3 linked regions of the Coturnix japonica genome follow. The main gene of each other region encodes a partner of the protein of the gene in region 3 in a complex. Links are inferred from orthologs where the notes say so. Each region holds a gene or a part of one and is shown on either strand. Other genes may lie near its edges.

What was found.
Region 1: the proteins of RANGAP1 (region 3) and SENP2 are in contact, whole or in part, in a crystal structure (PDB 2IO3), measured with the Homo sapiens proteins. The link is inferred for Coturnix japonica from reciprocal best matches to the Homo sapiens genes RANGAP1 and SENP2. Residues at the interface, in NP_001265580.1 of Homo sapiens: Glu467, Asn508, Thr511, Thr514, Arg515, Val518, His519, Leu523, Lys524, Ser525, Glu526, Asp527, Val529; in NP_067640.2 of Homo sapiens: Tyr408, His409, Trp410, Val477, His478, Asp495, Met497, Gly498, Gln499, Lys500, Pro536, His537, Gln541, Gln542, Asn544, Gly545.
Region 2: the proteins of RANGAP1 (region 3) and RAN are in contact, whole or in part, in a cryo-EM structure (PDB 9B62), measured with the Homo sapiens proteins. The link is inferred for Coturnix japonica from reciprocal best matches to the Homo sapiens genes RANGAP1 and RAN. Residues at the interface, in NP_001265580.1 of Homo sapiens: Ser29, Gly58, Asn59, Thr60, Asp86, Thr89, Gly90, Arg91, Leu92, Arg93, Ile96, Asp121, Ala123, Phe124, Gly125, Asp127, Asn151, Cys152, Gly153, Met154, Gly155, Arg189, Asn190, Arg191, Gln217, Asn244, Asp245, Asn246, Thr247, Asp273; in NP_006316.1 of Homo sapiens: Asp18, Gly20, Tyr39, Val40, Ala41, Thr42, Leu43, Gly44, Val45, Glu46, Glu70, Lys71, Leu75, Arg76, Tyr79, Asp91, Thr93, Ser94, Arg95, Val96, Thr97, Asn100, Lys123, Asp128, Arg129, Lys130, Lys132, Lys134.

What each region holds. Positions count from the first base shown.
Region 1 is NC_029524.1:3,365,449-3,370,943, reverse strand, and holds the start of SENP2 (sentrin-specific protease 2), read left to right. Parts: upstream 1-1,865; 5' UTR 1,866-1,915; coding exon 1,916-2,010; intron 2,011-3,522; exon of another isoform or gene 3,523-3,813; coding exon of another isoform or gene 3,814-3,869; intron 3,870-5,269; coding exon 5,270-5,367; intron 5,368-5,495. UniProt on the Homo sapiens protein: Protease that catalyzes two essential functions in the SUMO pathway.
Region 2 is NC_029530.1:2,657,234-2,662,878, forward strand, and holds the start of RAN (GTP-binding nuclear protein Ran), read right to left. Parts: upstream 3,631-5,645; 5' UTR 3,500-3,630; intron 2,713-3,499; 5' UTR 2,706-2,712; coding exon 2,670-2,705; intron 1,959-2,669; coding exon 1,874-1,958; intron 1,786-1,873; coding exon 1,660-1,785; intron 690-1,659; coding exon 502-689; intron 126-501; coding exon 1-125. Other genes in the region: STX2 (syntaxin-2), read left to right, coding at 3,872-3,967. UniProt on the Homo sapiens protein: GTPase involved in nucleocytoplasmic transport, participating both to the import and the export from the nucleus of proteins and RNAs. Switches between a cytoplasmic GDP- and a nuclear GTP-bound state by nucleotide exchange and GTP hydrolysis.
Region 3 is NC_029516.1:45,368,309-45,373,355, forward strand, and holds part of RANGAP1 (ran GTPase-activating protein 1), read left to right. Parts: coding exon 1-10; intron 11-207; coding exon 208-321; intron 322-1,927; coding exon 1,928-2,027; intron 2,028-2,408; coding exon 2,409-2,493; intron 2,494-2,891; coding exon 2,892-3,042; intron 3,043-3,523; coding exon 3,524-3,637; intron 3,638-3,953; coding exon 3,954-4,056; intron 4,057-5,047. UniProt on the Homo sapiens protein: GTPase activator for RAN. Converts cytoplasmic GTP-bound RAN to GDP-bound RAN, which is essential for RAN-mediated nuclear import and export. Mediates dissociation of cargo from nuclear export complexes containing XPO1, RAN and RANBP2 after nuclear export.

The sequences.
Region 1 (5,495 bases), on a different chromosome or scaffold from region 3:
GCATAGTAAAGAACTAAGTCATGAAGTTAACCATCAGATTAAATTACAGGGATTGAGAAATGCAACTGTTGTAAAACTGACCTGCAAAGACAATGGATGTGTTACGATATATAACCTCCTGCAGGTATGTCTATTATTATCATCTTTCCCTTGTATTAAACTCTGCAAGAGGGCACCTGCTTCAATCAAACACACAGAATAACGGCCTGCCTAGTCCTGGTGAGGGTAGGGACTGCACTCTATGGCTCAGGACAGTCTCAACTATATGTGACACAGATCTGTGCAGGTTTATTTGGAGGCTGGATGAGTCCCACAGTCACACAGACCCCACTGTCTCACAATTCCTAGTTCACAGCACATTATCTCTTGGCCTCAGTGCAAGAGAGGCAACTTCTACCTGCAGATCTGACAGCACACAGAACCAGCAGGAGCATTGCAGACGAGTCCTGGCTCTGCAGGACTAAGCTGACAAAAGAGTTTTTCCAACACAGGAATGCAAACAAACTCCCTGCGCCCCCTCCAGCTCTTTGCTGCAGAATGTGGCTAAACCTTGAGCACTGGGAGGAAGGGAAAGCAACCACAGCAGCATTTCTCAGCTGCAGGCTGTGCACAGTGCTGCCGTGCCCTCTGCCGGGCCGGTCTGCCTGTCAGACCACCCTTCCCATACATGCCCTCACCGCTCTGCTTACACACCTGCCTGTGTCCTCACAGCTTGGCTGCCACATCCAGCTTGGTCTGAGGTCACTGCCATCTCTTCTGGCCAACTGAAACAGACAAGGAGCAGTTAAGAAATGAGGAAGGTCGCTTCATTAAAACACAACACCCTGCAGGCACAGGAAACCAGCAGGACCTCCTGTGACAAACACAGCCCATGAAATGCCAGCTCTGCTCTGGGCTCTTGAATTGAGTCAGTTTGCTCCACAGCTTCCTGGCTTGCAATATACCGACCCCTGAACAAGCACTGGATGCTGTGGGAACAGATGGTTTATAGTAAGCAGGCAGCAATCACAGAATCACAGAATTGTCAAGGTTGGAAAAGACCTAGAAGATCATATAGTCCAACCATTCCCAATAGAATCACAGAATCACAGAATGTCCCGGGTTGGAAGGGACCTCAAGGATCATGTAGTTCCAACCCCCCTGCCTGGCAGGGCCACCAAACATACACCTTTACTAGATCAGGTTGCCCAGGGCCCCGTCCAACCTGGTCTTGAACACCTCCAAGGACGGGGCATCCACAACCTCCCTGGGCAGCCTGTTCCAGGGCCTAACCACTCTCCTAGTGAAGAACTTCCCCATAACATCCAACCTAAATCTTCCCTCTTTTAACTTAAAGCCATTTCCCCGTGTCCTGCTATTGTCAGCCCTTTCCAAGAGTTGACTCCCCTCCTGGCAGTAAGTTCCCTTCAGGTATTGAAAGGCTGCAATACTTCCCGGCTAAATCATATTCCTCAACACCACACCCCAGAACACCCAAATGCAGCAGCCCTTGGGCTGAGCCTCTAACCAGCTCATGTTAGAGACCAAGCACAGCCTCCCTGCACTAGAGGGGCAAGAGAGCTGATTCTGCACACATTACCCGGCACAAAGCTCTAAATAAACCCAGCAGCCCCGTGAGCAGGCTGAGCATTAGGTAACACTTGTGTTAACCTCAAACTGGGCTAATCTGGAGCACCACCACAGGCCGAGCACACAACAGGCCTCACAGCAGCCACACAACGCGCATGCGCACCCCCAATAGCGGCCTCTTCGTCCAACCGGGAGCGCGCGCGGGGGCTACGTGCGCGCCGCCGCCGCCGGGAGCGAGACACGTGCACGCGCACCTCTTGCCGCGAGTCTGCGCCTGCGCGCCGTCGCGCGAGACAGACGCAGTTCCGGCGGCGCCGGCCGGTCCGTTGGCCGCCCATGTCCCCCTATGTACCAATGGCTGCTGGCGGCTGTCGGCAGTCTCTTCGCCGCCGCGCGCCGCTCCGCGCCACCCCCGGCCCCGCGCAAACGGCCGTTCCTCAGGTCAGCGCTCCGCCGCGTGTCCCTCCGCGCTGCGCCCGGCCCGCAGCCGGCACGGGATGTGGGGCCCACAGAGCGTGCCGCCCATCGGCACTGAGGGAGCGGCCTGGGCAGCTGGGTGATGGCAGGAGCCCGGCCATGTACCTAAAGCACCGAGCACAGCACCCCGCTGCTGCACGGACACAGCGGATCGGCTGCCCCTATCAGGGACATGCTCCGGGCCCTGAACTGCCCTCCCTTGGCTCTATGCAGCGCTCCCCTGTCTGTCTGGCCTCCCTCAGCCCGCTGGGCACACGGGGTCCCATAGGCCTTACTGGCCACTCAAGTCCTTCTCTAAACAGCTCCTTTCCAGCATGTTTACACTGATATGTTTGGCTATTCCAGCCCATGTGTAGGGCTCTGTGTGTGACACAGCAAGAGACGTGAACTGAGAAGTATGAAACTTCAGTTTCATACAAAAATGAAAGGGAAAAAAAAGCTCCTGTGGTGGTGTCGGAGCTGTGGAGTGGGTGGTGTGGTTTCCTTTGGAGATACTCAAGACCCTGAGCTCTTTTGTACCATAGGGAACCTGCTTTAACAGGTGGTTGGGCTGCATGATTCCAAAGGGGCCTCCCAGCTTCTACAACTCAGTGCAAAGTGAAAGGAAAGGCAATGCTTTTGATGGCACGCAGCAGAGCCATCCCTGCCCCATCCCTCTTCCCAAAGGGAGAGCAGCACGGGCTGCTTGCCACACTTTGGGCACTCAGCTTTGCTGGGAGATGGCTGCAAATGAGGGGAGCAAATAGGGTGGAACTGCTGAAGTGGCTTCAAGAGCCGTGCTGTTGGGAATAAGGTCTGAAATGCTGCTTGTCTCTAAAATGGCAAAGGTGTTCTCAGCTCCTTGTCTGAGGCTCTACAAGAAAATCATCACAGAATGGCTTGGGTTGAAGAGGACCACAGTGATCATCTAGTTTTAACCCCCTGCTGTGTGCAGGGTCACCAACCAGCAGACCAGGCTGCACAGAGCCACATCCATCCTGGCCTTGAATGCCTGCAGGGATGGGGCATCCACAGCCTCAGTTCTCCACGAGTGCTGTTTATCAGTCAAAATGCAGGTGAATGGGACAGCGTGGCCAGCTGAAGTTTTGGGTGCAGAGATGTCCTGAGCACACCCCATTCCCAATGTAAAGTGGCAGTGAAGTTACACAGAAGTTGCCTTTTACGTCATGTCTGCTACTTGGGCAGAAAGGTTGTCTCCCACAACAGAGAGAGGAAAAAATATGGATCTCAACGGTGAAAGTAATGGGGAAAGTGGGTAAAATGTCCAATTTTTACAGCTTCAAATGGTAAACTATCACAAAGTGCCCACAGCAGCGCTGCAGGAGGAGGTTTGGATGAGGAGAGATGCCCACACCTGGGTGTGTGTACGCAGAAATAGTGGGGTTTTGTGACACCTTGCTTACACACCCCCCCCCCCCCCCACCTTTACAGTTGGGGGGGAATAGAATGTTTGGCTGTTGCCACGGTTTCGAGGGGTAGTTGGGCCCATCGTGGTGTGCAGGGCAGACGCACATCTGCCTCCTGCAGCGTCTTTTCCACCTTTTTGCGCCTACTGCTCAACAACCTTTGGCTTTTGCTTCACCTGGAGCCTTAGAGGAGCCCCTGCTACAGGGGCAGTGCTCGGACTCTTCGTGAGTTGCGCTTTCCAGCTACAGACTTGTAGCTGAGCTTTTTTTCCTCTCACTCCTACCCGGAGTGAGAAATATTGAAGACATAGAAGGTTTTTCTAGCCTTTTTCGGAGTCGTTGACAGCAAGCTAATCCAGCTATGCCTCCAAAACCCAAGCCGACTAAGTGTAAACGGAAAAAACGACATTGTAACAGGTACCGGGTGCTGTATTGGAGCTGGGGGAGGGAGGCACTTGTCTTTTAAAGCTGCTGGTGGTAACATAGCCGGGTGTTTAAGCTGCTCTTAGCCCTGAGTGCAGCCCTGGGGAGGGTGTGTATGGCTGCGTCCGGGCAGAGGTTGAAGCTGGGAGCCTTCTACTGAAGGTGTAGCTGGTGCTACAAAAATGGATGGGAAGACAAATTTGTTATTGTTTTCTTCTTAATTTAGCCTGCTGAAATATTAAATAAGTTGAGTAGGAGTGTGTCTTTTCGGGTATTATTTGTGTTTATCATTTATTCCTTGGTATTTTCTGCCTGATGTTAATAGCGCCGTAATGACCAATGTCATCTGTGTTACATCAAATGTAGAGTTAAGAAGTTGTTTATCCTCTGTGTTACATTAAATGTAGAGTTAAGAAGTTGTTTTTCCTCTGTGTTACGTTAAATGTAGAGTTAAGAAGTTGTTTATCCTCTGTGTTACATCAAATGTAGAGTTAAGTTGTTTATCCTCTGTGTTACATTAAATGTAGAGTTAAGTTGTTTATCCTCTGTGTTACATTAAATGTAGAGTTAAGAAGTTGTTTTTTTGTCTTCCTGATGTGGAGGGATGTCAGTCCAGAGGGGGGAGATGAGCAGGGCTGGGATATGTAACAGTTAGAATCAGTTAGAATCAGTTAGAATCCGGTTTGATCACAGAGGACCAAAGGGTCCCTGCTATGCAGGGAGGGGGGGCAGGACAGAAACATCACATTACATTTATGGAAACAAATAGGAAAATAAAAAAAACATATAGAAATAAGCTGTCTATTCCCAACGTTAATAAATAGATTTCTAGACTTTATCTTTGTGCCAACTGATGCAGTACTTCAGCTACCACTTAGTAAGGAGGGGTGCAGTTGAGAGTGATTGCAATGAGTGGTTTGCAAGCACTGATTTAGCAGTGAGTTATTTATGTGGGTGTACACACGTTGCTTTCCCATCTTATATTTCCTGTCCTACTTAGGCTTTTTTTTTCCCCTCTGCAGCTCATTGTAGTGAACTCACATGGCTTAGTAATCATTGGCGTATTTCTTTCCTTGAGGAAAGAGGCAAAGCCCATGTATTAAGAGTTTTTGGTTGCTTGTAACAGTCAGAAAGTATATATTGAATGTTGGAGAAAGGGGCCTAATGCGGTTTTAGTGGGTGAATTAATTTTCCTGTGCGTGCTCTGCTGGATGGGAGACATCAGTGGGAGATGCTGCCACCTGTTTCTGTCTGGGCTGATCCTAGAGGTGCTTGGAGGGGAGAGCTCTGGGGTAGGAGGATTAGTTTGGGTCCTGTGCAGGGAAATGAGTCTCTTAGAATCTCATCTGCAGCTCCCAAATGCCGATCTGTGTGTTTTTTTTTCTTCCCTGCAGTACTCAGCAATCTCAGCAAGAAGATCCTCGTCAAGAAGATCCTTGGCAAGAAGATTCTGATGATTCTGATGAGGCTCAACCAAAAAGGAGAAGAGAAGGTACTGCACATTACAGACATTATTAGTACACCTGGTTTTTTTTTAGGTTTCATGTACCTTATTAAACTGGCTTCTGTTCTTCAGCATAAAGACTGAAGTTCTGAGCCATTTCTCTTCATTGTGATCAT
Region 2 (5,645 bases), on a different chromosome or scaffold from region 3:
ACTTCAGGTGGTGCAAGAGCAGGCATGGCAACAAATTCCAAGTTAGGATCTCCGATTAGCTTCCTAGCAAGCCAGAGGAACGGCTTCTCAAAGTTGTAGTTACTCTTGGCTGAAATGTCATAATACTAGGAAAAAAAAAATAGAATATTCAATAAGAGTCTGCCACCGATACCTACAATATAATAACTTGCACACAATCAGCTCAGGTGTGCTTTAGTATTCTTTTTAACTGCATGACTTCTGTCAATGCCCTCAGAAGCACCTGAGATATGAGACATTAGAAATGCAGAGTTTCAGGCCAATAGGCAGAAATTGATACTCTTAAACATAAGGTGCTTAAAGGTGATTTGCTCAAAGGTGATTTCAGGATGCAATAGTGCCTCTTTTTCCTGTGACTTGGTCTAATTTCATCTTATTCCCAACACTGAAGGACTGAATAGCACTCAAATGTAGTTAACAGACTTAATGTATCTCTAATCCTGTGAACTCACGCCATCATACCTGAAGATTCTTCTTCCTGTGGAAGACAATGGATTTTGCCTTGACTTTTCTGTCCTTAATATCCACTTTGTTGCCACACAACACTATAGGGATGTTTTCACATACCCGTACCAGGTCTCTATGCCAGTTGGGTACATTCTTGTAAGTAACTCTTGATGTTACATCAAACATTATAATGGCACATTGAGCTGTAAAAAAAACCAAACAATTACATCAGGCAGGTAACCACTTTCTTATAAACTGGAGTGGGAAAGAGTACCCACAATAATCAGTTATTAGGGGTGCCAGCATTAGGTTTCTCTTCAGTCTCACAGTTGAGAACATGCCATTTACCAGATCAAAGTGCAAGATAATCACTGTGCAGGAGTCCACAGAACTCAGCCCATGACCCTGTCATATGTTTGGTGCTTAACTCTAAATGCCAGCTGCTTCTATTCATGCAGCATCATGCGACAATTCTAATGTTGCATGGCACAGACTACACAATGATTACAAAAGAATTTTAGTTCACCTTAATACCTGAGAAAAATGTCTTAATGCTACTGAACTAATCTCAGCCTATTGAGGCTTTCAGATAAGTGGAGAGCTTGTAGTTCACATCTCAGAATGCCCCTGTCCAGAACAGCTTGCCAAAGAACACTTGATTCTGATACTTCTAAAGGAAAAGTCAGGCTCTAAACCTGTCTTGCAGAATGTTAAAAGGTACATGGGTGACTGAAGTACTCACAGAACAGTCCCTTATCTTCAAGGTCAAGCTCTATTACTACACCTTTAGAAAGGCCATTAGCCTCAGCCAAGGACATGTAGAACTTCTTTATACTATTTTATGTTTTATAGTATGTTTCTTCCAAGTCTTTGCAGCAGCACAGGATACCAATACAGGTAATTTTTACTCACTTACGCATACTTACCTCTTAACCACTTAATTTCATGAGTACTATCACTGAAGGTGCACAGTTACTCTTCAGTAAAATCAAAGCCCACAGCAATGGGTTTCACAGACTGAAACTAAGTTTTAGTACGGAAACAGATCTGACTATATTTATACAAAGTTCCAACACTCATAAGGGAGCTCACCAGTGTAAGCCATGTTAAAAGCTCTCAGAGTGGCCAAACTGAACAGAACACAGGACATAACTACATATGAGCACATCTTACCTTGGATGTAATAGCCATCTCGCAGACCACCAAATTTCTCCTGGCCAGCTGTGTCCCATACATTAAATTTAATAGGGCCTCTATTAGTATGGAATACCAGAGGATGAACTTCAACACCCAATGTTGCTACAGTAATAGGAAAGAACAGTCAGCAAGTTGTCAATTATACTTTCGATAGTAACACACAAGATCTTGAGTATTTCTTCAGACATACCTACATATTTCTTCTCAAATTCACCAGTCAAATGACGTTTTACAAATGTTGTTTTACCGGTGCCACCATCACCGACCAGGACAAGCTGTTAATACATTTAAGTAAAGAAGGTCAGAGCGACATAGTTTGTCTTACAAAATACCGTGAAGAAAACACTAAAATTCCCAATGAAGTAACTTTCTATGTTGGGTTTTAATTTGTTAAACGAGTCATTCTATAAGTCCTGTCCAAACTTAACTAGTCCCTGTAACTGAGAACTAGAACACATTGTGCTAAAGATGTGTTATAATAAAATACAAGCATCTGAATTGCTGGAGAAAAGAACTGTAATCTTGCAATTGGAAAAAAAGAAAACCTGTGTTACTAACAATTGGGATATATTAGATGAACAGTGTAAAAAAAACAAGCATCAATCAATGCAGCAGCCATAAGACTTCTGGCTGTTAAGGTAACAGCTCTGCTCCATTATGTTCCACCCCAGTAGTTGATGTGGCATAAAACAAGTTGCTCTAAGTCACTTTTAGCACTCTTTGTTCGTTGCTGTGAATATCACTCCATGAAGTCACCACGTTTTAAGTGGTGTTTTTATGTGAAGTTATTTTTTTGGTAAAGCAGCAAATAGCACCAGATTGATAGGACAATAGAATGCTGTTGTGAGGCAATGCAGTACGTGATCAGCTCAACACATCGATGAAGTCAGCACTTTAAAACCAAATCCACCATCCACGGCACTTCTTGGAAGTTCTTCTTGCTACTTTTCTATGGAAGGAGAGGAAAAATAGAAAGGATCCTTTACCTTAAACTGCACTTGGGGCTCTCCTTGGGCGGCCATGCTGGGTCTGCAGGGGGAAATGGAAGCATGTGTGAGCTCAATGAGCCGAGCTGCTTCAAGGCCCCGCCGGAAGGGGCCGGCCGAGCTTCTCGGCTTCCAAACCGCCTCCCGGGCCGCGTGCTCCGCGTTTCAACCATCGGCAGCCGCTGCAAAGGCCCCAAGTTCGGCCCGGGCCGATGCTCCCCACCCGGCCCTGGTCCCGGTTCGCCATCACCGCCCCATACGAGGCGGCAGCGCGCGGTAATGGCGGCGGCAGCTCCCCGCCCACCCCCGGGGCCCGTAACGGAAGAGCCGCCGCCGCCACCACCGCGCCCCTGGGGCTTCCACGCTACGATAAACGGGGCCGAGCCGCGGCCTGACTATTAAAAAGGCGGCTCCGGCCTTTATATATGAAACACAGCAGCACATCCCGTTCCAAACACCTCATCGGGTGGTGCGGGCCGGTCGCAGCCCCCATCCCCATCCCACCATGACTGAGCAGCGCCGCCTCCCCTCCCCCCCCCCCCCAACAGCCGCCCGGACCGTTGGAGGCCCCGCTGCCATGATTCCCATCCCACACACCGCCCGCTGTTACCTCAGCGATGAGCCGGGCTCCGCTCTCACCCCACACGGCTCCAATAAGGGCCACAAGGACAGGCCGCCACGCAGGCACGGCGCTCACGCGGGCCCGGCCTCAACACAACCCAACCCGGCGGTTATAACACCGTCCACCCACCTCACAGCAGCCTCACATCCCCATAACCCGGCCCTAAAGGGAACAGAACCCCATCCCAACCCCATCCCATCCCTATTACCTCTCCCGGGGCTTCTAACCGCGTCGCTCCGTGCCGTGACTGGGCGCTGGGAAGATGGCGGAAGCGCGGTTCAAATACCCGGACAGCGACGCCGCGCGGCAGCGGGGAGGGGGAGGGGCTGGGGTCACGTGAGCGGGCGGAGCTGGGACTTGGGCTGGGCCCGGTTCGGTTCTGCCCGTGTCTGTGTTGGTTCTGATCCGGCACCTCGTGTCTATGTCTCTTTAGTGGGGCACAATGCTCCTGCTAAAGGACATAGAGATATAGGACATAGCCCTATGTGGCTCCACGCTGCATCATAGCGCTTCCCTAAGCGCTCACATTCAGGTTATAGTGGAAAAAAAAGTTGTTGATAAGCTCTTCCAAAGAGCAAAGATGCATTTAGTGGAAATACAGAAAGAAAACGCAGAGGAGGCACGGCACTGTGCTGTAGTTTGCTTATCTCATAGACCACAAGGGATGGTACTAAAGGTAGGTCAGGCCCTGGAACAGGCTGCCCAGGGAGGTTGTGGATGCCCCGTCCTTGGAGATGTTCAAGGCCAGGTTGGACGGGGCCATGGGCAACCTGATCTATGGGGTCTCTATGGGGTCTCTATAGGGTCTATGGGGTCTCTATGGGTCTCTATGGGGTCTATGGGGTCTCTATGGGGTCTATGGGGATCTATGGGGTCTCTATGGGGTCTCTATGGGGTCTCCTGGGCAACCTGATCCACACTGGGACCACATCTGAACCACACCGGTACCACCCCATGTCTCTATTGGACTCCCCGCGCTCCCGCGCCCTTTCCCGCCCATTCTCCTCCCGCCGCAGCCCCGCGCATGCGCAGCTCCCTTCCCGCCCAGCATGGTGACGTCAGCAGATCCAAGGCGCGCTTCCCGGTGTCACCCCGGGGCTCGGTTGGCGCATGCGCACTGCGGTGCGGGCTCCGGTTCGTCGTGACGTCGTGTGTGTGTGGGGGGGGGGGCCGAGCGCTGGGCCCGGCCTGAGCGGGGCGGCGGCGGATACGGCGGTCGTTGGAACGGGGCTGTGTGAGGAACGAGCGGAGCTGAGGAGCTGAGGGGATGAAGGACCGGCTGGCTGACCTGGCTGAGGTGAGAGCTGTGGGGCCGCTATGGTTGTAACGGTCGGGGAGGGGCGCGAGGCCCGGGCAGCTGAGGCGGCACCACCACAGGAGTGGCGTGTTTATCCGTTCCCTTCCTTCCCCTTCATTCGCTTTCTGGAAACGGTGTTCTGAGAAAGAAAAGGAGCTGAGCTGATGCTTCTCATCCATAGGATGTGGTATGGTTGAAATGGAAGATTTCCCGCATGGTTTTTTTTTTTAATTTTCCTAATCTGGGAATAAATAGCAATGGTGTATGTTGCATGTAGTCTCCTTTTTTGGTTGTGTGCTATTCGTTTCGGAGGAAATAGAAACTGGAGTTTGTGTGCTGTTAGAAATAGTCATGGCTTCTGTGAGTCCTCTATACCAAGAGGGAAAAATGTTACTTGTCAGTGCTCACAGAATGAGCCGGGTTGGAAGGGACCTCAAGGATCATGTAGTTCCAACCCCTCTGCCTGGCAGGGCCACCAAACATACACATTTACTACATCAGGTTGCCCAGGAGACCCCATAGATCCCCATAGAGACCCCATAGACCCCCATAGAGACCCCATAGATCCCCATAGAGACCCCATAGATCCCCATAGAGACCCCATAGATCAGGTTGCCCATGGCCCCGTCCAACCTGGCCTTGAACACCTCCAAGGACGGGGCATCCACAACCTCCCTGGGCAGCCTGTTCCAGGCCCTAACCACTGTCCTAGTGCTCCTGGTTTGTCAAGGTATAACATTGTAGCTTTTTGATGTTCTCATTGATACACTGTGTTTGGTGCTTAAACACTGTTAAAGTACTTGCTGGAGAAAGAAACTGTTACAGGTATGCAGTTACTATTGCCTGCAGGTCCTCTGCTTTCCAACTAGGGAAAATTAAGCCTTCTTTAGGTGCTAATGTGGTGCTGGACCTGCCAGCTGTCTGGTACATCTCCTTGGCTGTCAGAAAAGCAGCGATCTTGATGCTCTGAAAGAATCTCTTGAAACACTGATGTGGTCTGAAGAAACTATTGCAGGTCAATTATAGGGAGCAAGGAGATAACTCAGAGTCTCCTTTT
Region 3 (5,047 bases):
CATGGCAGAGGTGAGTTGTTCCAAGACAAGACAACCAGTTGATTTGTTTTACACCTTCCAGTCTCTTAAAATGTAGTTAGTTAGCAGCAGCCTGTGGGTTGGTGCAGCCGCATGCCACAGTGAGGTGGGAAGGATGACCTTCCAGAAGTGATATTCACATTTGACTTGTATGTCTGTACGTACTGTCAACTTTGTGTTATCTTGCAGACTCTGAAGGCACTTCGGCAGGTTGAAGTGATCAACTTTGGAGACTGCCTGGTGCGTTCCAAGGGTGCCCTTGCTATTGCTGATGCTCTTAAAGAAGGACTTCATAAATTAAAGGTACTGCCTTCTGCTGTTCAGCTTTGAGTTTCTTTTGAAAATGACTTGTTTTCTGTCTTCATGTCCTTTCTCCTATTGATACTGATTACTTTAAGGTGGTTTTCACCTCAATAGCTATATGCCTGTAACTGAAAGTGAGTTGTAGATTAGTGACGTCGCCACATCCACAGGGGGCTATTCTGTGTGAAGGTGTACCAGTAATGTGATTAGGCTCCGCTTCATGTTTTTTAAGCAGCTGGTTCAGCTTAGCGATTGCTCTTCAGAAAGTCTGATAATGAAAGTATCTGCTTTTAGAACCTCTGAGAGTCATGAGAGCAGACTGAGATATCCCTCTTCCCAAGTATCTTGTCACCTCTGCATCATTTCAGCATTCATACAGTTGTTGTCTTTTCTTGTTTTGGGGATGTATCAAGGGATCAAGTAGTTTTTTTTTCTTGGCAGTCCCATCACTTCCTGTATCAATATTTAAACTTCACTGGCATTGGACTTAGACCTGTCTGAAATATTGTCAAATCAGTAAAATAAGTAAACTAGAATCTCTAGAAACACCTGTCCAGGGTCACAGCTGCACTGGGATAGATGCTGAACACCATTTCTATTCTTGGAAGCTTATAGACAAAGCCAGAAATCCAGCAGAGTGCTAATGTTTATCTGTGTGTATGCATCTGGTACAGAATTTGTCTCACTTGTTGTGAGATCCATTGTTCAAACTTCTACTGCTTCCACCAGAATTTATTCCTGAGTTTCCCAGATAAACTGAAGTAAGAATTCTAATGGGACTATCTGTGCTAGCAGTTGGAAATTAAACCCTTTTCTCTTCCGGAGCAGAAATGGTTAAGGGAGAGTAGTATGAAGCAATAGTAGCTGATTCATTGTGTTCAAGAATGACTTCCCTTCTGTTGTTAATATTAAATCTCAGTGACAGGATTGGCAGAACGTGATGTGAAATGGTGGGGGATGGTATAGTTTGCCTTTAGAAGGCTTTAACTTGAAGTGTAAATATTAAAAGGCAAATGTGCATTCCATTCACTATAGCAGCTACCCTTCCTCAGTAAGATTTGGTGTGCGAGTTCTGACCTGGTCATGTGACTGGCAGCTGGGCTCTGCTGGTGTACAGTCTGCTTAGAAACTAAAATCTTCAGTTTTTGGAAGAAGGTGACACAAAAGGACTGTCCCTGCTACCCCAGCAGGCTGGACGTGCTGCTGAATCCCAGGGCAATGTGACAAGATGAGAGGAAATTAAGGAGCTAATGCTCCTTTCTGCCTTGAAGTGGTTCCAGAATTCCTCCTGTTGATTCTTTAAGGGATGCCTCTTGAGTAGGTGAAGCTGATTGTTAAGGGCTGAAACAGATGCTACCTTTTAAGTGAGCAGTCATAATAATGTGGTCTTTGTGGCTGTTTCACTTAAGTGGTTGCTTTTAATGATGGTATGTTTCAAAATATTTTTAAGTGAGATAGAGAGATGTCACTTTACCAATTAAAAATCTGTTTTTGTGAAGAACCTTTTCAAATGAGAATCTTTCCAGAAAGTTAGTGAGCGTGTGAAGTTTGTGGGGATGATGGACATTATGGGAATTATGTAAACAAAGGGTTTTTTGCTTCTTAGGAACTGAATTTGTCCTTCTGTGAGATCAAACGAGATGCTGCCCTGTCTGTAGCTGAAGCTATTGAAGATAAGGTAGAGCTGGAGAAACTGGATCTCAATGGTAAGTAAACTTGGTAGGTAAAAGTCTGATCCCAGCTAGAAACTGCTAGGAAGAGTGGTTACAGTATCACCTGTGCTAGGATTACAATTTCTAGCATTTAGGAAATGGTTATGGGGGAGTAGCTGAATTTGGGTGATGCTGGGACAGGAAGTGGTTAGATTCTGAAAGCAGTCTTAAACCGTGGACTCAGCCAGTTGTTAGAGTCAGTAGCTTCAGCTTAAACAGCTGTTTGATTCTGCATCGCTGCCTCCAAGGCTTGATGTAGAAATTACTGATGTTATTTTTTAATTTGTACAGATATAGATAAAAATCTATAACAGTGTTCCCAAGAACAAGCTTGTGTGCATCTTCTAAATGTGTTCCCTTCTCCCCTGAATCCAGGTAACTGCCTGGGAGAAGAGGGATGTGAGCAACTGCAGGAGATTCTTGAAGGCTTCAATATGGCAACTGTGCTGGGATCGTTGAGGTAGGCAGGGCACCACAATTTAAATGAGAAGTTTTCTACCAATTTTTATCAACGCTTACTTTGTTTAATGTAAGAACTGTAACGCTGCAGCTGGATGTTGGTCTGAGTGTGCTGTGGAGTGCTGTGAAGGGATTCTGTAAGCAGAATAAGCCTTGTACCTCATTTTTGTTGATGGAATTAACTTGGCTTCAGTTACTGACTATGTTCCAGGCTCTTTGCTTACCACTGTCAACTGGATGACTGAAGTCTCAAGGGGTCTCATAGTGTTCTGTAGATGAAGGTGTATTTCTAACACTAAGTCTTGAGAGGCTGCTTTTTTGTTCTTGGAAAAATTGAATAACAGTATATTGGAGTGGCAAGTATGTAATTAATGTAATATGTGAACTGTCCAACTTCAGTGATGATGAAGGGGAAGAGGAAGAAGAAGAGGAGGAGGAGGAGGAGGAGGAAGAAGAAGAGGAAGAAGAAGAGGAGGAGGAAGAGGAACAGCTGAAGGAAAGAGGACAGGGAGAACAGGACTCAATGACTGCTAAGATAATTGGTGCACAGGTAAGTTTAGTTCTGGATGCATTTGTTTCCTTACTGGAGAAGAGCTAAGGAGGAAACAAGATTTAGAGTGAGTTTGCAGTGCTGGCAGGAGTTCACATTCCTGCGTGGATTGGCTCTTTGGTAATGGGCAGGAAGACAGCGTGCGGAAGATAAAGAAAATGGGTGACTTGGCAACCTGCTTTGTTAAAGGGTGCATGTGCACACATGTATAGTGGTAAAAGCTGAACAGCCATTGTGATAGACATGGGTAGAAAAAGTCTTCCCATCTTTGGAGTATGGTAAGAACCTTGCATGTGCACTGCCATGCAGTCACGCTAGCTATTGTGTCTGTTTTAACTCCAGCCTCATTCCAGCCTTAAACAGTTTACAAGTAGAACAAATTCTCACCTGATGTGCCTTTGCAAGTCAGACCTATATGCCTTTGCTGTACCAATTTATTTGTTTTTAAGAGTAAACTTGAGGTGGATTCTGCCTGTTTCAGGATTCAACTCCAGCGCCATCTCCTCCTGTGGATGTTGCCACATTCCTTGCTTTCCCATCACCAGAGAAGCTGCTGCGGCTAGGGCCAAAGTGTTCTGTGCTGATAGCTCAGCAGGTAGGTGAACCAGTGGTTTGCTGCACTTGAATCTCTCTCAGGATCATTAATCCCCAGAAGTGGTAGCTTTCTCTCCAGTCCTAGACTTGCTTCTTCTTCCTGGTGACTCTGAGTAACCTCATAGAAGCAGATGGTGCATTTAATACTTAAACTGGCACCCTAGATGTTTTACACAGAATAACGTTGTTTCTTATGTCTTGTAATGTGACCAAGGCAAAACTGATGTCAGTCAGCTGGAGGCTGTATTTCTTGCCTTGGCAGAGATCCATCTTCTTTATTTGGCTACCACTTAACTTTTTTTTTCCTTGCCTTTCAGACAGATACATCTGATGTAGAGAAAGTAGTTACAGCTCTCTTAAGGATATCTTCAGTCTTCAAAGATGAAGCCCCAGTAAAAACAGCAGTGCATGAAACAACAGGTGACTGGACCTTTCTTCACCTAAGGGTGCAATGCAATGCAAAGCAAAGGAAGGCCTCTGTAGGCTGGGTATTTGATTGGTTGACTCTGGTAGCAAGAAACCCCAGATTACAAAGTACCAGGCTGTGCCATGCTGTCGTGTGGAGTTGAAGTAAAGGCTTGTTCTAAATCATAGAATCACTCAGGTCGGGAAAGACCTTAATAATCATCGAGTCCATCCATGACCTAACCATACTACCCTATCTAACAGCCCTCCACTAAATCATGTCCCTGAGCACCACACCCAAACAGTTTTTAAACACATCCAAGGATGGTGACAACCACCTCCCATTCCAGTGCTTAACAACCCTTTCTATAAAGAAGTTTTTCCTGATATTCAATCTAAACTTACCCTGGTGCAACCTGAGGCCATTTCCCCTCATCCTGTCACCAATAAGAAGAGATTTGCCCTGCTCTCACTTTAAGTACCTTTCAGATATTGGAAGAGAGCAATAAGGTCTCCCCTCAGTGTCTTTTTCCCCAGACTAAACAGCCCCAGTTCCCTCAGCCTCTCCTCATTTAGCACATTCTCCAAACCTTTCACAAGCCTTGTTGCCCTTCTTTGGACCTGCTCCAGCATCTCAATGTCCTTTTTTTGTACTGAGGTGCCCAAAACTGAACACAGTACCTCAAGGTAAGGCCTCATCAATGCTGAGTACAGGCACCAGATGACTTCCCTAGTCCTACTCACCACAAAAAATGGAGAGCAGGATGTATGTGTTTCCTTAAGCGCGCTTGTGCATGTATTGCTTTGTTAGCTCTTCCTTACTACCCTTGCTCTGTAGGGAAAAGTAGTACCTAGTAATTGCTTTCCTTCTAGAAGAGTAACTAGGAGTTGATGAAGTCCCTAGTTAAGGATCCACACTGCTCTACAGCCATTGTAGTGGGTTGTTCACTCCAAGAAACTAGAACAGTCAGAAGTCAAGATGGTGCCTTCTCTACCTTGTAGACAA